2 linked regions of the Lytechinus pictus genome follow. The protein of the gene in region 1 purifies or fractionates together with the protein of each later gene. This does not show direct contact. Links are inferred from orthologs where the notes say so. Each region holds a gene or a part of one and is shown in the gene's direction. Other genes may lie near its edges.

Region 1 (11,360 bases):
AGTTTAACAAAGATTTGGTAATCCACGGCATACGTGGAACTCTAAATGGACTCTTATTTGTACAATTAATCACAGGTACGTTCTCGTCATATAGAACCATTAATTTTTTCATGAAATTATCAAAGGCACTCTCAACACTTTGGTCTGAGAGTATGTCACTCCAATCAGCCGAAATTAACACTTCTCTGAGCCGAGCGATATTTTCAGAATTGCTTTGGCGAGTATGGGTGTTGTAAATATTTGGATCCTTATATTGTCCTAAAGCTAGTTTAGTAAAAACAGGAAAGTGGTCAGATAAGTCAGAAATTGTACTCCAGAAGACAGAACTGGTTGCGAATTACTAAAAATATTATCAATAAGTGTGGAAGATGTATCAGTCACTCTGGTAGGCTTTGTGATTAAGGGTAACTATGAAAAAGACATTAACAGATTCAAGAAGTCATCAACGTGAACATTATCATTGCAGTGTAATAGATTTATGTTAAAATCCCCATGGCATCAAAAATAATGATTTATGAGAAAGCAAAGCTTTTTCCAATATATTTTGCATGTCATCTATAAAACTTGTGAAATTACCATGGGGAGGTCTGTAGATTTCTCCAAGAACAACATTTCTTTTACCAGGAAGCAAAATTTTTATAAATACAGCTTCCAAATGATCGGTCATCATGGTCATTAAATTAAGATCATGACAAACCTGATAATCTAACTGAGAAGGGACATATATTGTAACACCACCACCTCTTTTATTTTTCCTATTATTACAAATTATATCATAACCTGGAACAGAAAAGAGATTCATATCATTTTCACTAGAATTAGATAACCAAGTCTCAGCATGCTCAGAGACGCCAATAGCACTGGCGTAAATCCGTGTTGATGGGTGGGGGGGATGACTGAAATATTTTGGCATTTTTTTTGCAATCATGTTTTTAGATATGCAAGGAATTGTCATTGATATGTCCACACAGTGGCGTACCGTGGGTCACGGCATTGGGGGGGGGGGCACCAGCAAAATTTTGAATCACTGAGTGAGTGCGCTCAGTTGCCAGTTATTCTGACCTAATAGAGACATGGACAATGTCATTAAAGGGATATGTATCTCACTGATCAAATAATGCGAGCGCGAAGCGCGAGCTGAAATTTTTTTATATTCACACCTAAAAAGGGACATTGTAATCAAATTTGTGTAATCATGATAGGTACCTGTCTCGCTAAACAATGCGAGCATGAAGCGCGAGCTGAAGTTTTCGTATATTTTTACCCCAAACAGCGAGATTTTAAGGAATATATTTTAGGAATCCATTAAGAGCATGCATATCTCACCATAGTCATCTAATGCGAGTGCCAAGCGCTTGCTGTTTTTATCAGAATTAGATCTGAACAAATGAAACACTTTTTGTAGTCATTGCAATCATGATTATCATACGCATCTCACTAATCAAATATTGCGAGCGCGAAGCGCGAGCTGAAAATTTATATAGTTCAGACCTGAAGTGGACATTCTAAGGTTTCTTTGTAGGAATTAACTAGGACCATACGTATTTCAATAACCAAATGATGCGAGCGCGAAGCGCGAGCTGAAAATATTTTATATTCAGATCAGAAGGGACATTTTAAGGACTGATTTTAGGAATTCATGAAGAGCAGACATATCTCACCAATCCACTAATGCGAACGTAATCACGGACAGGAAATGTTTCATATATTTTGACATTCGATCTTGATCCCTTCTCAAAGACCCCAACATTGATGAATTGGAAGAAACGGGGGTTTCTCTTCAATGTTATAATAAGGACATAACCGTCATAAGTATTTCGTTTGGAAATGGTGAACTGGCTCTTTATTTGCATTTTATCATTTATGATGCAATAAAATTGTTTTATTTGTTAAGCGGTATTTCAGGAAGAATTTTCACCAATAAAACAATTATCTCTTGTGATTTTTTTTCATTTCTTTCGTAAAAAGTGGGGGGATGTTTGTACAGGCCATCCCCCCCTCCTCGAAAAGTGGGGGGGATATATCCCCCCATCCCCCCCCCCCCGGGATTTACGCCAGTGGCCAATAGGCAATAGGGACAAGCCCACAAGCTGCGAATATTCATTATGAAGGAGAGTTAGGTCAGTGCTCATTCTGGTATTACCAGATTACAAACTAATTCAAAAAACTGTTTTTCTGTGCAATAGTTACAATCAGGGACAGCATTATGCATGTTACCATTTATACTTAATTACTAGGCCCTACAGTGATTATCTTCAACAAAATTACAAATATCGTCTTCAAACTGAGCCATTAATTGTACTAAAACAAAAACAAAAGTACTCTAAAATAATTACTAAAGGCAGTAAAGTAAATACTTGCCTGCGTATAGGCCAAATCATTTACATTGTCCTCCTCGCCCATCTTGCATTTCATCACTGAGTTGACCTGAAGTTTGATCAAGTTGGTCTAACTTTACTTAGATCTCGCTCTACTTACAGTTACAGACTGTAACTAGTTACAGTAGACCTCACTCGATTACGAGTAGTCAGCGAAGTGTCAGTAGCACTAGCTGCAGCCTAGTACAGTATAGCCACTACAAATACACAGCGAGTTATTACGCCTCGACCTCGCGATGTGTCGGCGGCGCGGCCGGCTAGGGCTAGCTAGCGGCGGCGGCGCGGCCGGCTAGGGCTAGCTAGCGGCGGCGGCGCGGCCGGCTAGGGCTAGCTAGCGGCGCCGGCAGAACCGGCTGGGCTCCTTTGGCTGGCTGGGCTATTTACCGGTACGTTTAAATCTGGCGCGCCTCTTTCGCGCTGATGGCGCACGTGCGGCAGCTGGTTGTTCGCTGCTACTACACTACTACGGTACTAAAGTATGAAGCTCTTATTTGAACCAGCGCAACCAAATTTTGTAATGAATTTTACATGATATGATCACTGAACTAAAAATACGTGGAAGTCGTGTTCACCCAAGCAAAACATCGCCGGCGAACTTGATAAGTCACGTGACCGCCGCCATTTTGCTAGGTCAATTGTTCGAGAACGCGCCGTAGAAGGCAATTGAAAGTATGTGCAAGATGCAATATGTTTTCTCTATAAATATAGAATTAATACTGATGTACTTAGTGTGGCAAAGTGTATTTTAATGTCATTAAGCCAATCATGTACAACCATATTTCTATATGCACAATGTACTGGGACCTGGTAATTCATGTAGTTAAAAAAAGGGTTTAAATCAGGGTGACCAGATTTCACAAAATGAAATACGGGACAATCGATAAGAAAGATTATCAAAGAAGGCTACACAGTTATACTTGTGAAAAGAATATAAAGAATTGGAAGGGAGGGTGAACGAAAGAATGAAGGAGAGAAAGAAAAGAAATGAAATGAGAAAGAAGAAAGAAAACAATGAAGGGGAAAAATGAAAGAAAGTTAGAATAATTAAAAGGACGATGAAAGAAAGAATAAAAGAGAAAAAATGTTTCCGTCATTCTTTGAATTCATCGAATATAGAAAAAAAGAAAAAGAAAGAAAGGGAAGATGTGTGACAGACAAAATAAAGGTGAGAAAGAAAAAGTAAGAAAAAGGAGGAGGAAACAAAGAATGAAGGAAAGAAAAATGTGTTCATTCTTTGAAAGAAAGAAACGAAGAAAGAAGAAAACAGGAAGGGGGAAGGAAGGAAGGAAGGAAGGGAGGGAGGGAAAGAAAGAATAAGGGGAAACTGAATAGAAGGAAAAATGAAATAAAGAATGAAAGAATGAATGAAAGAGAGGGAGGAAAGATTGGAGGGAGGAGAGAATGAAAAAAAAATAATGGAAGGAGAGAAAAAACGAAAAGAAATTAAAGGTGATCGAGGAAGGGAGAAGGAAGTAAATAAAAAGGGCAGATAAGAGAAAGAAGGAAAGAAAGAAAACTAACACACAGACAGGATCAGGAAAGAAAGGTAGGAAATATTAAAAGATAGATGGAACAAAAAAAGCAAGCAGGAAGGATAGAAGGATGAAGAATAAAAATGAACGAGGAAAAAGTTCAAACTTCAAGCAAACAAAAGCAATCCAATCATCTAACAGAAATGATAATGATATTTGGTGTTTTTTAGATATATATCTTTAAAATTTTGAAAAAGTGGTTTAGAAATGAATAAAATTTCAAAGTGAAACATTGTCAACTTACAAATTAGAGGAAACAGCGCCGGCATCCTACACAACAAGACTCAAAACGAAAGCTAAAACAACTACATGTAGATCCAGTAATGAAAACTAAAAAAACTTGTTCCTCCTACACTCTTAAAAATGTTGGGCAACATACGGTCCACACAACAATTGGTTAAAACTTTATCCAATTCTGGGTAGTTTTACACCAATAATGTGTGCTTTGGGTGAAAACTACACAGTATTGGTGTAAAACTACCCAGAATTGGATAAAGTTTTAACCAATTGTTGTGTGGACCGTATGTTGCCCAACATTTTTAAGAGTGTATTAAATCAGTAATATGAGAATCTATAATTATGATGATAAAAATTTCCCGCCGATTTTGTGATTATTTTGGTGGAAAAACTGTTTATCATGTGAGATTGTTTGCACCATTGAGAATCTGCTCCGATCCTACATGCATAGAGCCTGCCACACACATACAGGCAGGAAGCCAGCTCGTTTGCAATGTATTGGGTTATATAGGATAAAAATCACCCGCAAAACTTTGCAAAAGTTTAGTTATCGATTGTTGTCTCTGCTTCGTCATCTGTTAGGTTATTTGATGAAAATTCGTCACTTTTAAATTATGTATCAACTACATTTTGTTCAGTATTCTAAAAATACGGGACAGATAGGTGTCCCGGGAAGGGTTTGTCGGGACGCCGGGACAAAGGAGCAAAATACGGGACGATCCCGGGAAATATTTGACAAGAGATAGTGGTCTTTTTGTGCAATTTTTGACATGTGGAATATTTCATACTGACCAGGATATGCATATAACTGGTATGTGAAAATAAGCGAAATTTAGTGCCACAACTTTTTAAATGGAATTACCATTTCTATGCTTTTCTGATTTGTGCTCTAATTAGTAAACTTGTTAGAGTTGAATTTGTTTATCCATCACCCCTAGATAATTCATGGCTGAGCGCACGAAGGTCCAACTTTGGAGGCTCATTAAAAGTAACAACCTTCTTGTCCTCAAACTTCTATTCAATTTTTCACCCTGAACTCAAAATTTATATAGAGAAAGTTGAAATGAGAAAGGCAAAATGGTAAAGATGGAGCCGGAAAGAAAAAAAGAAACAGACGATCAACGAGAAGAGATGGAAAGAAGAGGAAGATCAAAGAGAGAGGGAGAGAAAGGGGAAATGACGAGGAATGAGAAAGAGGTGAGGAGAGAAAGGCGAGACGAGAGGGAGATAAGAGGGCTTGATATAAGGGAGATGGGGAAATAAAAGAGAGATATAAGGGGGATAGATAGAAAGGGAAGGTAAGAGAGAGAGATGAGAAAGAAGAGGAAAATCAGAGAGAAAGAAGCCAAAGAGAAAGGAAAAATAATAAAGAGGGAGATCGAGATGATATAAAGGGGATAAATAAGAGAGAGAGGGGCATGCATGAAAGTAGAAATGGAAGAAATAGAAGGGATGGAGAAAAGGGAGGATAAGAGAGATGGACACTAAATATGCTGAAGAGGAAAATCAGAGAAAATGAGATGAGATGAATAGTTGAATGAGAAGTGAGGTGTAAAAAAAAAAGCTAGAGAAAAGGGACATGATTTCTAATCGTTAAAAGATTTTTTTTTTAATGCAACCAGCTAGAAGGCCTTTATTGTTCAGACAAATAGTAGGCCTACTCAGAAAGCAAATTTGTTGTGGGGCCTTTCTTTGTCACAGTGTGCGCGTGAAAAAGGTAGATTTTTTATGATTTCATATATTAGGCTATGTTTACTCCACTTTAATACAAAAATCTGACTAAATCAACATTTTCAGTTATGAAAGTAGTCAGTAACATATAGTTCATGATGTAACAAAGCAAACTAAAACTTTGAACAGCACAAGGAACACTTTCTTTGCGTTCCTTTCTCCCATCTGCCTACACGCAGCATTTGTCGACCAGCCAGTATTGACCTAGCAAAATGGCGGCGCGCTCAGTCGAGCGTGAAGCCCGATGCTCTTCGTTGCCGCACGGCTTTGTGTACGTTGGGAATGGGGACACGTATTCCACGTATCTCTAGTTCAGTGGATATGATCCACACAACATGCATGCAGCGCAGCGCATGCATTGATTTCATACCGTATGCTGAAGCAACAGCAAGGGGGAAAATCAAGCTTACATAAGGTGAGGCAAGACAAAAAATATGTCTTTACATACATTACTGATATTTATTGCTAGAACCACTGAGAGATTTCTCCCAAGTAAAGTCGGCCTTATCGTGAAATTTGTCACCTCCCTTCTCGCGTGTACGCTCACTACAATTTACAAAGTCAATGCCAATGGGAGTGGAAAGATGTCACCACCGCTGACGAAATAAACGGCAGTGAATGGACAGGTGACATAAACCACGATAATGCCGTAAAGTCAAGCTGCAAGGTCAAGATGGATCTATTCTATCATGTCTATCTGATCTCTTTGTTATGTCCCGGGTTATGTCTATCCAGTCTGAAAATCTATTCTTGTCCAGACCAGGGCAGGGGCAGGGGTGGGAGACTGGCTTGGCCTTGGCCTTGGCAGATTTTTAACTGATATCTGATTTTTTTGTTTTGATTTTCATTTTTCAGCTTATTTTTGGCTTTCCTCTGTACAAGAAGTATGGGAGCTCTTTCTATTTCAGACTTTTTCAACACCCTTCAGCTTTTATCAGATCTTTTTATTTGTGACCACTCACCTCTGATTATAATTTTTTTTTTATTATTATTAAAAACTTGTCTCTGGTCCCACATGTTAAGTTTACTGTATCTAAGTTACTAGACAAAAGCTTGGTCTCTGTTTTCCTTTGTTTTTAAACATCGCCAATTCGATTTTCGATTCGATTTTGATTTTAGAAGCTTAACTGCCGATCCGTTTTTCGATCTGAATTTTGATCCGATTTACAACATTTTATCTGTAAGTGTAACTAGTGTTTAACAGTAACTTTTTTGTTAGAGAATAGAGGCGCACGGCCAATAGGCAATATGGGACTGGGAAACTCTCTCCAATAGGGGAGACAATCTCCCACATTGGAGACTTGCTTTGCAAAAGGATAAAAGAAACAACACCAACAAAAGCATGATTTTTTCCACCCAAAATTTTGTCTCACTGAGCCTGAGGTCAGAAGCCCATTTGTTTTGTGTGTGATTGACAACAAAAATCCTTATCAAAACAAAAGTAGACGGTGAAAAGGGGTAATTTTTCATGAGGAATCTGCTTATCACATTTTTATTTGCCGCCAAGTTAATCCTTTTGCAGCAAATGTAAACAAATGAAAATTGGACTCCAAAACTGGAGACTGTCTCTGAAATTGGATACCCAAATTCTTTACAAAAGTCTTTGATATTGGAGATAATCTCCCACATTGGAGACAGTCTCCAATATTGGCCGTGCGCCTCTACTGTTTAAAGTGTGGTCATTCCGCTAAACTCCGTTGGCTCCACTCCTGCCACTCGCCAATATTGCAGTGACTAAAGTTCTTTAAACTCGATGTGTACAGACTACAGGGACTCGATGGCCAAATCAAATGTATGTTCGAATAAACCAGGGTCAGGGAAGTGGGAGTTGCGCGACAGCCGAACTTGAGTCTAGCTAAGTCCAGACTAGAATAGTATGATAGTTATTCACTGGTTTTTTTTTTCCTTTTACTTTTTAGAATCTAAGTTTATTTTTTCCCATCATGGTGCATTTCAGGCCAAAAGGGAATAATACTCTATATTTTGGTCAGTTCTTTATTAATGAAATAAAGACGAAAATCAATGTCGGGGGATATTGCATTGTTAATCCCCTAATGGCAGCTGCACGATCGCGAGCTGTCTGTGTACGAGGAGAAATACAAAAAATTGGTGTGTGTTGTGGTGATTGACTGTGCTGGCTTGTGAAATAAGTTTGCCATGTCGAATGGCAGCAGGAAATTACCTAAGATTGAAATTAAAAAAACTGTCCTCATAAACAAGGATAATCTCCATTTATCAAGACATGATTTGTCTTGGTTTATTGGATCTTTGTTTTCTTGGACAACCCCTGGTGCTGGTCATACTTAGTGCTGTCAACAAACGACAATTCTTGGGCATTGCTGGGAGAAAGTTGTAATACTTTAATATCTCTTATATGTACATGTTGCACAGGTCTTTCAGCCTACATATTTTGTGTACCATGGACAACGGATATGGGCGCAGGCCCAGCGCAATGGCTAGACCAGAAGACGGTCGTACCAGTACCCCACTCAGACTGTTTGTTGATGCCAAAAGAAAGATTAATGAAATCTACAAGGAGGTATCGGGTCACATCATGGACAGCCACAGTTTCCTGGATGGTAAGAGTTCAAATTCTATTATGTGGTGGGGGGGGGGTAGATTTTGGAAAGAAGAAAAGTAAAATCTTGGGAATTAGGTCTCATAATTAACCCCAAATTTACCATTTTAATATTCATGGAAATGAATTTGAAACTCTTGGAACAAGTCAACTTGTATGAAAACAGAAAAAAAGTGATGGAAGTTTTAGAATAATTGGACAAATAATAAGAAAGTTGTGAGCATTTGAAGGTCAACTATGGAATTTGTCCCATTGGCAGTGCGACTAGATTTGTGATGTCACAGATGTCCAACTCTCCCCTTTGTGTAGTGCACTGAAAGTAATCCCCAATACATCTTTTTTTTTTTTTTCTTTCATTCTTATGAGTGGAATTCTTGTCCATTTATGGAACCATTATTACATGTCCTCCCATGAAAAAATAATTAAGAAATAAAACACCTAATCTATACCTATGGATAGACTCAATGAAAGTGACAAAGTAAATATGTACAGGTATAACAATTATTAGGGAGTTGTATAATGACATCTCGGTTGCTTATCTCAACACTCAAATGATCATAACTTATTTTCTTTTTCAATTTTTCTCAAATTTTCATTGATTTGGTACTTATATTGGTTTATTTCCAATTCGTCTGATTCCAATTCGTCAAAATTTCCAACTCGTATACTATCATTTGGTCTACCATCAGTTCATCTACTATCCACACATGGTTTATTGCCAATTTCGTCCACTCACCATTTTGTCTAATAACCAGTTGGTCCAATAGCCATTTAATCTATATATCATTTGGTCTAATTGAATTAAGTGTTGATTGTGCAAAAATGAATGAAAATGAAATGGATATTAGACCAACTGGTTATGAGAGGAAATGGTGATTAGACAAAGTAATGATTGGACCAAATGGTTGTTAGACGAATTGTTGATGGATGGAATGGCAGTGGACTAAATGAAAGTAGACCATGTGGTGAGTGGACGAGTCGGCAGCAGTCAAATTGGCAATTTACCCTTTTATTTTCCTATCGTCACACAAGCTAACTTGTTTCCAGGGTTTCATCCGTATTTATATTAAGGAAGACACTGCCATAGCGTACCAAACAATGATACCAGTTTTTTCAGCTGTGTAAGCTGTTACGATGTCTTTGATTTTCTTTTCTTTGTTGTAATCCTTCCTATCTGCATGCAATCTAGTCAAATTTGAGACTGGTTTTATAGAATTATAATTTCTGGCTTGGCAGATATTTTGATGTACCCTGACATCCATTGTTTGCATCATGTATAACTTTGTGAACTGACAGTACGGTAATCCATGACTTAGTCAATGATCAGAAGATCAACAGTTCACTCCTATATTAGATGAGATGGTGGTGATGATGATGATGATGATGATGATGATGATGGTGATGATGATGATGATGATGATGAAAAAGTTTGCATTTATACGACCATTTGCTTACTCATAGTGGTGATTTGGAGGAGAATTTGAAAGGTAAATGGGGTCAGATATAGTGCTAGTCTCAAGTTAAAGCTTTGAGATGGTACATTGACTTTACAACCATTATTGTGGGGTCAAAGTTCACAGAAGTAGGGTTTGTTTGGGAAAGGAGAATGGCACATTGCTATTATCAGGGTTTATCATAGTTTATGAGACTGCATCTTAATTTTCTTTGTTTGATTTTCAGGGATATCTTCAGCTTCGCAGGTAGTATCTGATGAACAACTGAGTAAAGTAGAAGCATTCAGTAACCAGGTTAGAGGAATCCAAGATGTCCTGGAGAGAGATCATATGAAAGTAGCATTCTTCGGCAGGTGAGATTAAATAGTTGTGGGGATGGGGCAAATAATACAAATGCATTGTAATGAAAATAAAGGCTATTATATTAACAATGAACATTGTAATGATATACATGTACATTTCAGTGGTCTTGATATGAAAACTGACATTTTAAAGTTCTTATTATTAAAGCCATGGTTGTAATTTGTTAAAAAACTAAATAGCTGGGAGAGGGGGCTGATTCAATATGAGATTGTACAAAATCATTCTTAACTTTGAAACCCCCAATTTTGGTCTTAAAACAATGTGCAGGACTCAAGATAGAAGAAAAAGTCCCTGCTCAGAAATGTTGTGGTGAGACCTCACATTAATAATTCATCTTGAAAAATGTCACAAGGATGTGGCTGAATCAGATCTCCCCACCCCATAATTTTTAGGGTTACCTATAGAATTTAATGACTATGCTGAATTTTATCTTTTGTTTTTGGATTTTTTTTTTACCTTGTTTATAATCATTTTCAAGCATTATTTTCCAAGTACTAAAATACTGATAAATCTAACATATGTTCATAGACATCATTACATTGACTAAATGTAATAATCATTACATTGACCACTGCTTAAATCATAGATTTACCTGTATGTAGTACCTTTTGTGGATACTTGCAAATTAAAATTATATTACCAAAGACAATGTAATTCACATCAGCAGGAAATATGACAGTGTTTGCATGGATAACCTTTGCCCTGTATATAATTTAGAAAAATGCAATCTATTACAATTAACAGGTATAAGTCTGGAAAAAAAATACAAAAAAAATTACAATTAATTGTAAATAGACACTCATCCATGAATGCTCCAGGGTCCACCTGTGATGAGACTTATGGAAAAAAAAAAACTTTTTTTATGTTCATCATGAAATTGCAATGTACATAATAATATTAAATTTGACTGCACATTCTCATTAATACATGTACTCTCTATGTTATTTGCAATAATTATGAACTTTATAATCAGGTCAATGAATTTTTTTTTTTTTTTTAACAGAACGAGTAACGGCAAGAGTACAGTAATTAATGCAATGTTAAGGGATAAGGTGCTACCCTCTGGTATCGGCCACACCACAGACTG
Region 2 (12,038 bases), on another chromosome or scaffold:
TCGCTCTTTAACTTACGAACAGCTTTATTATGACACACCCACCAGAACTCAAAATAAAAACAAAACCTTTCTGTCTTGGGTAGAGGCGCAAAGCTAAGTAGCTAGAATTAGGATTACCACATTGTACCTGTACATAGTCAACAGCAAACGCACAGGCACAGCTCAGCTCAGACACTGCACTCAAATTCAATAGAAATCTCATGAGCTGCGAGTACTGAGCCTGCACAAATCTTCCAATACTCACCGTCGTACACGGATGATGAACATGTTGAACTTGGAAAAACTGTCGTATAACCTCCTCCACGGCCACCGAGGCTTCCATGCCTGGCCATTGTCCCGCAAGTCCAAGCAGATGTAAATCAGAAATAAAATAGCATTACTGGATCCTTTCTCATCTGAAATAGTCCGCGGTAGTTAATATTGCTTTGTTAAAGGGTCCATGTCCATTTCCTTATTTTTCATCGCAAACCACAGAACTTTGTATTCGCGCTGTCGCTGTATGGTCTGATTACTTCCGGGTATATATAAAAAAGTAGATGTTTCGTGCATTATATTCACGATCGCGATGTGTCCAAAACGAATCCCCGTCCAAAACATCAGATACCGGTACTGTATACACACGTGCCGTGATTCATTGTTTACCCACAACAAAATAATGTTTTACGACTCAGTAATTATTGTATTGATAAATTATTGCAGTCAAATTTGTTATAAGGGGCGGATCCAGAATTTTACTAGGGGGCATTTTGGCTCAGAAAGAAATGACAAGCATAAAAAAGATGATGAGATTAATAACAATAATGTGAGCATTTGTAATGCGCCAGTATCGGGGCCACTACCGGGGCCAGTATCCATCATAAATAGACGCTCATGGCGCGATATAGAAAAGAAAAGATAAAGAAAAGGAAACCTGCTAAAAAGATTGAGGTCTTCGCTTGCTTGGGTGTGCGGCCCTATATAAATCATTTACCACTGGGGGTGCACTGGTCGGTGTGCCCCCCCCCCCCCCCTGAGTCCGCCAAGTTATATGATTTTTTTTTTCAAAGTAATCAATTTACGATTATATTGCAAAAATTATGTTCTAATGAGGAGAAGGGGGTGCTCCGCGACTGACTGCATGGGCCGCATGCATGCATGATCGGGAAGCTTAAAGGTCAAGTTCACCCCCAGAAAAATTTTGATTTGAATAAATATAGAAAAATCAAACTAGCATAACGCTGAAAATTTCATCAAAATCGGATGAAAAATGAGAAAGTTATGACATTTAAAAGTTTTGCTTATTTTTCCACAAAACAGTGATATATGAAGAAACAGTCGATGATGTCCCTCACTCACTTTTTTTTTTTTTTTTTTTTTTTTTTAATTATACAATATTTCATTTTTTCAGATTTGACAATAAGGACTATAACTTGACTGAACCATATAGTATTAAACATTGCTAATTCCACATGTTCAGGGAGAAATTAATCATAGTTTCAATTGACAATGAGGAGAAAATTAATATTTCACATGTCATCTAAAAAAATACAAAAGAAATAGTGAGTGAATGACATCATCAGTCTCCTCATTTGCATACCGACCAGGATGTGCATAATAACTGTTTTGTGAAATTAAGCCGAACTTTAAAATGTCCTTACTTTCTTATTTTACATCTGATTTTGATGAAATTTTCAGTGTTATATGCTTGTTGGATTTTTCTCTTTTTATTCAAATAAACTTTTTATTGGGGGGGGACTGGGAAGTATTTGTTGGAATCCTCAAATAATTCAGGTGTGGGTCTGGGATTTTTCTGAAGAGGTGCATCAGTGTTCTAAAAATTTGACAGCCCCCCCCCAAAAAAAAAACAGGGTCATAATACTTGTTAAAGGCCTATGCTGGAATTTTCCAAAATAGGCCCTGGGTGTATATGCTGATTATTTTACTTTTTTCTAATTTCTTTTTTCTGTTACACAGAATCATGAAAACTCAATTAAAAAAATCATCACTGCCAACTTAATGCATTTGGCTACATCTCTCCAGTTTTTTACTCTCTTTCTCTCTCTCTCTCTCTCTCTCTATCCCTTTGTTATTGTTGTATGCTCAAAGGGGGGCTCTCACTTTCCACCCCCCCCCCTGGATCCGGTTTCTGTACTATTGGAGAGCTTAATTGGTGGACCTTCATTGTTACTTTCGATTTTAGACTACCTTCATTGCCAACATTCTCAGACACAGCTCTTCTTCCGTTCTTCGAATTTTCCTCATCTTCTTCTTCCTCGTATCCTTTTTATTCTTCACTCTTCTTCTTTTTCTTCATCATCTTCTTCCTCCTCCTCTTCTTCTTCTTCTTCTCCTTCTTCTTCTCCTTCTCCTTCTTCCTCTTCTTTTTCTTCTTTATTTTCTTCTTTGCCTGCATGGGACTGGCATCTACACGAAATTATTTTACTTATGTTTTCTTTATGTTATGAATTATATGTTTTTAGATAGGCAGATCCCTGTGGAAGACCAGCGATTTTTGTTAATGAAGGTCTTAATAATTGTATATATTGTGTAATTTTGCATATTAAGTTGTACAACGCTGAACAGGCACTTCTGGTTAAAGATTTGAAATAAATAAATGAATAAATAAATTATTTTCGTTTTAGTCATCATATTTTATGAAGTTCACCGTCCCTATATATTTCCAATTTCCAACCTTTATGTTATACAGTACCCAGATTTTGCCCAACAAATAAACATTGCAAACCATATAGTAATATATGATTAAATTAGTTATTATGTATCAGTGGATTTTTCCTTGATATGCATTCCAATAACATATCATAATCATGATAATTATAAAACGTATATTAGCTGAAAATAATCCATGGAACCATTTTTGAAATACCTCTACAATTTCAGAATACTTTAACTCTGCATTGGAATTATACTGCAAAGAATGACGAATATGACCTCGAGTTTGAATAAACGGTAGATCAGTTAGAGATGTTTCTTCTCATATACAAAGCATTGGCCCGCATTGGCGCAACATATTGTTGGTGAGTTTAAAAACAAGCACATGAACCCCTATTACTTGATGTTTACACCTCGTAAGTATACTTTCCTCTCCAACTTTGCAAATTTTGGTAAAAATGACATATGCGTTTTGGAAAAAGTGTAGCATTTATTGTACTTCGCAAATTTGTTACAGAAATTTCAAATTTGTGAGATAGCTATTGTGAATTGAAGGTGCTGCTAGCATTAAAAGGGCAATCAAATAACAATGTGAATAGATTATCCATCTTAAGTATACAATTTGAATTATACTGTGATGAAATTTACAGGGATTTTGATTGAATTATTTAAACTCAACGTGAAGTCTGAAAATGTCCAAACCCTGTGAATACAAACTTCAAATTGGGTGAGCTGATAGCAAAAAGACAAGCACATGAACCCATTTTATTATTATGGTTTTTTTTTTGCATATTTGGAATAATTAGGTGCTGAAGCTTAAAATGATTTCATTTTAACTGTGGAACGTCCTTAAGGACTATTTTTAGAAAAGGAATTCATGATGAAGAGCATATACATATCGATATCTCGCCATCGTCATTTAATTTGAAGAAAGAAAAAAAAATTGAGCGTCAAGCGCTCACTGCTGATTTTTTAGATTCACACCTAAACACATATGAAGAACTTTTGTAGTCATCTGTTGCGTATCCAGCATCAGATCCTATTATGAAAGCATCATGGGCCCAATAATGAGGGACAATAGTGACTGTATCATGCTTTTGCACGGGCCCATACATTTTCTTTGTCGTAGTTGATGCTGGATACGCTGGTGGTTGTAATCATGAAGATGATACGTAGGCCTATTTCACTAATCAAATATTGCGAGCGCGAAGCGCGTGCGCGTGCTGATACCCGAACTTCATGGTATTTTAAGACTTGTTTGTAGGAATTCATTATACGTATTGCACTAACCAAAATAATGAGAGGAAATATATTTGGTGAATATTTACTTGAAAACGAGACCCGCCCCCCCCCCCCCCTATTGGCGGAGCAAAAAAAAAGAAAAAAAAGGGGGAAAGAAAGAAAATAAAAGAGGAGAAAAAGAAGGGGAAACATAAAAGGAGGAAGACGAGTGAATAAAAAAAGATGAGGGGAAGACTTGGAAGAAAATTTCAAAAATTTTCATGTCACTATAAACAATTATCGCTTTTTGGTGATTAACATATCTTGCTCAATATGGAGCTTAAAATATCAAATTTTGAAGTCAATTTACAAAACACGTTTCAGCTCGGAAATCATTATTTTGATTGATTGACATTTATTTTTTAAAAGTGCTCTGCAAAAATTTGTGTTTTATGGTCTGAATATTAACATTTTATGCTCGCGCTGCGCGCTCGCAGAATTTGTTTTGTCAGATACCTTTTATTTCCCGGTATTCCATAAAGTTCTCGAAATTATCCCTAATCAGTTATATGCATATCTCAGTATTCATTCTATAACAAACTACTTAAAGGGATGGTCCAGGCTGGAAATATTTATATGTCAATAAATAGAGTAAAATTCACAGAGAAAAATGCAGAAAAAGTTATTGAATTTTAAAGATTTGCATTATTCCTGTGAAACAGTTCTAAGCATGTCTTCATGAATATTCATTAGGTGGGCTGATGATGTCATATACCCACTTGTTCTTTTGTGTTTTATTTTATGAAATCAGGTTTATTCAAAAAAAAATCTACCAAGAACTTAAACAGTTGGATCGACAACTGATTAAGTGCATCAGTTTTTATTGCCGCAATTTATTTCATCATAATGGAGACACATCATTTTCACATGTGTGACAATATGAAACATTTGTGATTTCATGTAATAACATAAGAAAAAGGAAAATGGGGATATAACATCATCAGCCCAACTTATGTATAATCATGACGATGTGCATAGAACTGTTTTCACAAAATATTGATAAAATTTAAAATTCAATAATTTCCATATTTGTCAGTGTTTGTTATCCGATTTTGATGAAATTTCAGCATTTTGCTTTATGAATTTCACTCCATTTATTTAGATATAAATATTTTCAGCCCTGACAATCCCTTTAAAATCCCCATTCATGACAGTTTATCTAAAATTTCGGCTCACGATTTGCGCTCGCATTGATTGTTGAAAATATATTAATTCATGCATCTTATTCATAAAGTGCTTTAAATGTCCAATTTTCAGGCCATAATATTAACAGATTTCACGCTCTCACGAGGCTTATTAGATTAATAAATAAGATATTAATTTACAAATCAAATTGTCTTTTTTCAGAAAGGAATTTCAACAAGTTTCATCTAGCGCTTAGGAAGAGAAATAGGAAGATAGTCATCATTTTCATATGACGACATAATGTTCGTAGAATGCCCCGGGTCCTATGTCAAAACTCAAAGTAAAAATAATGAAACATATCCATGATATCAGCTCTTTTTTAACTGTGATCCATATCCACCTCACAATTTTCCTATATACAAAGTGCTTGAAATACAGAGCTGAAATTGACAATTTTTCAGATCGGAATATCAAATATTTTAAGCCATCGCTTCGCGCTCGCTTTTCATCCATTCAATGATCTTACCACATCAAAATAAATTTATAACTGTTTAATCCAAAGTCAAATTGACAATTGTTGTGAAGTATGGGGTTTACGATTTATCACACAAACGAATAAAAATAATAACACTTCAGAAACTTGCTGCCAGAATATAATACTCAAACAGAGCTCACGTCCTCAGCCCGTCTGATCAATAAAAAAAAACTAGAATGGTTCTCCTATCACCAAAGAGTAATGTATTTCCGATGTATATTAATATTTTAGAGTCTAAATAATTTATCTTCCGATGTCTTTAATGATAACTTTAAACAAGATCTGCCTCCAACCTACAACTCGATGTCCCAAAATGCAATACTGATACTATAAATACTCATTCATTATCTCCTCAATATATCAATGTTCAATTCCTTGCCCCTTCATTTAAAAACCATATCCACCCTCTCTATTTAAAAAAAAAAACTCAAATCATATATTATGTCCGGTGTTACAAATATTTTAATGACTCCGACTTTGCATGCCTTTCTGTATTCTAATATGTATGATTTATATAATGTTTTTACTTTGTATATTTTTATCACTTGTATATAGGCCTACGTGTTTTTTGTAATGCTTTTAGGGCCCCTTTTGATACCAGCCTTTGCTGACAGGGCACCCTATGGAAATATTATTTGAAGAAATAAATAGGTAAATAAATAATTGATTTTCATGATTGAAAAGGTATTTAGAATGCCTAGATTCTAGGCCAAAATCTGAAACACGCGCGCGTATATGCATGTTCAGATACGCAGCTTGTTCTCTATTTAAATTATTATCCAGTTTCAGATCACAATATTAAAAAAAAATCTGCTGGTGCTTTGCGCTCGCATTATTGATGTAGGAAGATTTCCAATTACTCATCCTTTTCATGATGTACCAAACATGAATAGAGTAGTGTCCCATATTTAAATGTAAATCTCGAATTTTTCCGCTCGCGCTTCGCTCGCATTTATTGTATATACTTATCCTTTTCACGATTGCAAAAAGTGCTTAGAATGTCCATTCTTCAGGTAGAAATGTCAAATTTTCAGCTCGCGCTTCGCGCTCGCATTACTAGTATTTGATTGTTGAAATATGTAACGTCTTCATGGCTAACTGCAAGCAGCCGTTAAAGGTCAAGTCCACCTCAAAAAAATGTTGATTTGAATCAATAGTGAAAAATCAGAAAAGCATAATGCTGAAAATTTCATCAAAATAGGATGTAAAATAAGAAGATTTTCACAAAATAGTTATATGCACAATTTAGTCACATGCAAATGAGAGAATTGATGATGTCCCTCACTCACTACTATAGTATTTCTTTTTTTTTTTTATTGTTTGAATTATACAATATTTCAATTTTTACAGATTTGACAATAAGGACCAACTTGACTGAGCCATAAAAATTATGTTAAACAATGGTAATTCCACATGTTCAGGGCAAAATAAAACTTTGTTTCACAGGAAAATGAGGAGAAAATAAGAATATTTCATATAATAAAATAAAAAAGAAATAGTGAGTGAGAGAGTGATGTCATCAGTTCCCTCATTTGCATACTGACCAGGATGTGCATATAACTATATTTTGTAAAAAATTAAGCGAAATTGAAAATGTCATAACATTCTCATTTTCCATCCGATTTTGATGAAATTTTCAGTGTTGTGTTTGTTGGATATTTCTCTTTTTATTCAAATCAACGTTTTGTTGGGGTGGACCTGTCCTTTAACAGGTCCCTTTTTGATCAACTAATTTTTTCATCAGGGGATTTTCGAACTCGTCAGCTGTTCTACTCCAGCAGACGATTTTTTCCAGAATAGCTGAGCGCGCTTCAAAAATTTCACGTGTTCGCCGGCCACGCGCGCGCGATGTATTCGTGTGGCCTGGCCTGTATTATTAAAACGACGTTATCATTCATGGTTATAAATTATGTTTTGTCACTTTTTATGTGATTTACAATATTTCAACGTGTCATTCAAAGATGGACCAGATCCTTATATCAGTCAGGCTCATTCAGTCTCCAAGGTTGGGTAAATTTTCCGGAAATGTAGCAGAAATGAGGATGCCTGTTCACGCGACGCAAAGTGGGGCCGAGATACGAGACGAGGTTGCTCGTCTCTCGGGACAGTCCCCCGCAGATATTCGCCTGATATTCGCTGGGAAGTTGATCACTGATGTGCAAACAATGGAGGTAGGCCTAACGTTAGATTAAGTGTTTAGAACTTTAGATTCTAAGTTACTGCGCCTGAATTAATGATTGAAAGAATGAATGAAAAGACGCAGATCCGCACAACGTCAACCAACAAAAAGGGTGACCAGGTCCAGGGTGGCGTTTCATGAAAGGACTTGTGACGTCATGTCAGAAGTTTTATCCGACAAGTCCCATTTTATCCGACAGTTACTATAGGAACAGTACCTCTCAGCCAATCAAAATCAAGGAAAGATGTCAGATCTGACAACTTGTCGGACGAAAATGTTGATGAAACGCTCCCCGGATTTCACAAAAGTCAAAAAGAAATACGTTATACGGGAGTCACAATCGACAAAGCACGCTGCACGAGCGGATCGACCAAGCCAGGCCTAGGCTTAATGAAAAAGATCAACAAAGAAGGCTAAAAATTAGAATTGTAAAAAAATATAAAGAATCGGAAGGGAGGATGAACGAAAGAATGAAGGAGACAAAGAAAAGAGATGAATTGAAAAGAAAGAAAGAAAAGAATAAAAGGGAAAGTGCAAGAAAAAAAATTAAAATAAAAGAAGGATAAAAGAAAGAATAAAAGAGAGAAAAATGAATAAAGAAAGAAAGGAAGGGAAGATGAACGAATGTGTGAAAGAAAAAATAAATGAGAGAAAGGAAAAAAGTAAGATAAAAGGAGGAAGAAAGAAAGAATGATGGAAAGAAAAATGATTCAGAAAATGGAAAAAGGAAAGAAAGAAGAAAAACAAGTAAAGTAAGGAAGGAAGGGAGGGAAAGACAGAAAGAATAAGGGAAAATAATTAGAAGGAAAAATTGAAAGAAAGAAAGGATGAAAGAGGGAGGAAAGAATGAAGGGAGGAGAGAATAAAAGAAGAAAATAATGGAAGGAGAGAAAGAACGAGAATAAAAAGAAGGAAGCAAAGAAAAGTTGAAGGAAGGAAATAAAAAAGGAAATATAAAAAAGAAAGAAGGAATTAAGAAAGAAAAATGAACATAGAGGGATAGAAAGGATCAGGAAAGAAAGAAAGATAAATGGAACAAAAAAGGGCAAGCAAGAAGGATAGGATGAAGAAAGGATAGAAAAGAAAGAAAGAGGAAAAAGTTCAAATTTCAAGCAAACAAAAAAGTCCAATCATCTAACAAAAATCTTAATAGCCTACCGGTAAAGGCGGTATTTGGTGTTTTTTAATATATATTTTTTTGAATAAAAAAAACTAAAATGTTTCAGAAATGAATAAAATTTCAAAGCAAAAAAAAATTTAAAAATTAGATGAAACATCGCGGCATCACACACAGGCATCTCTTCCATCCCATATTACAAGCTTGCACCGATCACAAGAAGACTCAAAACGAAAGCTGAAACAACATAGATCTGGTTATGAAAACTCAATACATCACCAAATCAGTAATCTGAGAAAATCAATCCATAATATAATTTAAAAAATTCCTGCCGATTTTGTGATTATTTTGGTGGAAAACTGTTACCAATATCATGTGAGATTGTTTGCACCATTTAGAATCTGCTCCGATCCTACATGCCGAGCTAGTAGCCACACACAGGCAGGAGGCCAATTCGTTTGCAGTGTAAGCTTCAAGTTTCAAGTTTAATTTTATTGATTTCAAATCCAAACATAAAGGATTACAATCCTTGGGTTAGCAAGAAAATCACCGCAGAACTTGCAAAAGTTTACAGTTATCGATTTTATAGTTGTCTTTGCCTTGTCATCTGTTGGTTATTTCAAGAAAATTCTTCACTTTTAAACGTATTAACTTTATTTTGTTCAATATTCTGAAATACGGGACAAATATGCGTCCCGGGAAGGGTCTGTCGGGACGCAGAGACAAATGAGCAAAATACTGTACGATACCGGGAAATACAGGACGCCTGGTCACCCTGACGCCAATGGCTCGAAAAGGGGGCTCGGGTACTACTGGTTACCCTGTGAGTGACACAGAATCCTGACATCGAGGCACAAACTGGACCCTCAATAAAAGGAAAAGTTAGACCTCTATGTCGAGTTATTTCTCGGTATCGATCAGCCTTTTTTACTTTTGTTTTCAATTTTGAAAGGAGAACGAACGAGACAGAACTTTCCCTTTTTTGAGGGTCCAGTTTGTGCCTCGATGTCAGGATTCTGTGTCACAATAGACCTTTATCTATATAATCGAGGTAAGTGCATAATTTATTTTTCCCCTTTTTATTTGGGGTGCTATTGCGACCCCATTCTACCCCATTTTGGAGAGCACTCTGCCTAATATTACACGGACGAGTCCTGGGCTCCGACCCGCTTTTCTATACAGATCTAGAGTCTGCAGGGCTTCGCGGGCCGGAGCTCCCTGGGTTAGGGTACTGCCTGGTGCACTCAAGGGTACATGCCGCTGCACACAGAAAAATCAAGCCATACAAAATTAGAAGTCGTGTGTTGTGGACGCCAGCAGTGACATCCAGCATACACGACCCACTCACCACTGGCCTGACTGGCACTACCACTAGATCTAGTTTAACAATTAAAATCCTCTGCCAAACACGGTTCCTTGTGCGAGGTTAGTTCTAACCTCGCACAGTGGAAGGAAGCTGGAATCTAGACTAACTTAAATATTAGGGTCTTTGACTCTGGAACTGTGATGGTGGTCCCCAAGTCTGCGCACCTAACAACTTGAGTCAGATTTAATATGAATTTCTTTTTATTCAACAAAATCTTTCAGATAATAATGTTCCTAATGAGTAAGTGCACCAAATATCATAAAAATTTGAAAGAAATATAGGATTTTCTTGGAAAATCCTTGGGCAGTCATTTTCAGATTGACAAAAAAAAATGGTACCCCATGTCTGCGCCATGCTAATATTCTTTTATCCGGCTAGCCCTAGCTAGCTGCAAGCTAAACATTAGGATTGGATTGCGGGAGCATCGGCGGCTCAGTCCAGCGCCAATCAAGTTCAGCAAGCTTTACAACTTAAAATTTTGGCAGTACGATTTTGAAGAAGAATCACTTTCAGATGAGCTAATTTTCCAATACAGGCATTACTGCTCTTTGAATACCAAATTATTGATTATTTTGGAAATTTACAGAGAACCTTCCCTGTCGACTTATTTTTGGTTTGGGGTAGCTGGTCACAAAATAACTGAAATCAATAACGAACTGGATATTGATCAATTAGACCATATTTATCAATTCAACAGGTGTTGATTATTCCACACAAATAAAAAGAGCAAAATATTATTGTGTATATTTTGAGAGATTGTCTATTGTTAAGGCTCACACTTGCTCACTTCTTTTCCATACAAGAGGGTGGTGATTAATTGAGGGCATTATCGCATAGGATTTTTTATATAGATGTAGAGTCTGTAGGGACAGTGATTTTCCGTTTCAAAAAATTGCCTTTTCCGTTTCAGAAAATCTCAAATTCCGTTTCAGCATGTCAGAAAACGGAAATTCCGTTTCCCCATAGACTTTGTACACACGGAAAAGTGACAATTCCGTTTACACATTTACATGCACACTCGCACTGGTCAAAATTTGTATCTGCTACTGTACCAACAACACAATAAAATCCGTTCTAATCGGATCTATGCGGGTGAATAAAATATTTTAACACACCCATTTTGCATGCATACATCCTCACCTTTCATATTATTAGCATTATTTCACGGTGAAATGATATTTCATCGATAATTTTGGGGGTTTTTGGACATCGTTATCATCAGTCAACGTCTTTTCCCAATCCGCCATCTTGGATTTTAAGACCACGATATCGTGCTGTTACATCTTCAAACGTAGAGGGCAGCAACACACAACTGTGTACATGTAGTTGAACGATACATGTGTGCATGTGAAGCCCAACCCGGCCGGCCGGGTACGGGTACGGTGCGGGGTACAATCGAGTGTGAATTGTCATAATAGTAGCGAAGTGAGATCGTGTTTTCTGGGTTTTTTCGGCCATTTAATATTCTCATTTTGTTGTGATTTTGGAGTAATTTCTGTTGCTATTCTGTGTATTTTGAGGGAAAATACGTTTTCCGTGATTTTCCGTTTGAAATGCCATTTTCCGTTTCAAAAGGCCCTTTCCGTGAATTCCGTCCGTTTTCCGCGATCGCGGAAAATCACTGTCCCTAAGTCTGCAGGGCTGACTGTGGAGATCTGCAACTTTGGCGCTATCAGATGAGACTTAACTAGTTACCTGCATAGATCTATACAAATGTATATCATGGAAAATTGAGACATGAAATTGGCATGTAGAATGTTAGAATAACATTCCCAGTCCTTCTTTT

What was found.
Region 2: the proteins of mitofusin-2-like (region 1) and E3 ubiquitin-protein ligase parkin-like purify together in Drosophila melanogaster (affinity purification with western blotting; 3 studies listed by BioGRID). This does not show direct contact. The link is inferred for Lytechinus pictus from reciprocal best matches to the Drosophila melanogaster genes Marf and park.

Annotation. Positions count from the first base shown.
Region 1 is NC_087246.1:5,733,090-5,744,449, forward strand, and holds the start of mitofusin-2-like, read left to right. Parts: upstream 1-6,187; 5' UTR 6,188-6,293; intron 6,294-8,269; 5' UTR 8,270-8,297; coding exon 8,298-8,457; intron 8,458-10,136; coding exon 10,137-10,263; intron 10,264-11,276; coding exon 11,277-11,360. UniProt on the Drosophila melanogaster protein: Mitochondrial outer membrane GTPase that mediates mitochondrial clustering and fusion.
Region 2 is NC_087248.1:10,159,178-10,171,215, forward strand, and holds the start of E3 ubiquitin-protein ligase parkin-like, read left to right. Parts: upstream 1-7,359; 5' UTR 7,360-7,551; coding exon 7,552-7,761; intron 7,762-12,038. UniProt on the Drosophila melanogaster protein: E3 ubiquitin-protein ligase which accepts ubiquitin from E2 ubiquitin-conjugating enzymes in the form of a thioester and then directly transfers the ubiquitin to targeted substrates, such as Paris, Marf, Opa1, Miro, pnut, Septin1, Tom20 and porin.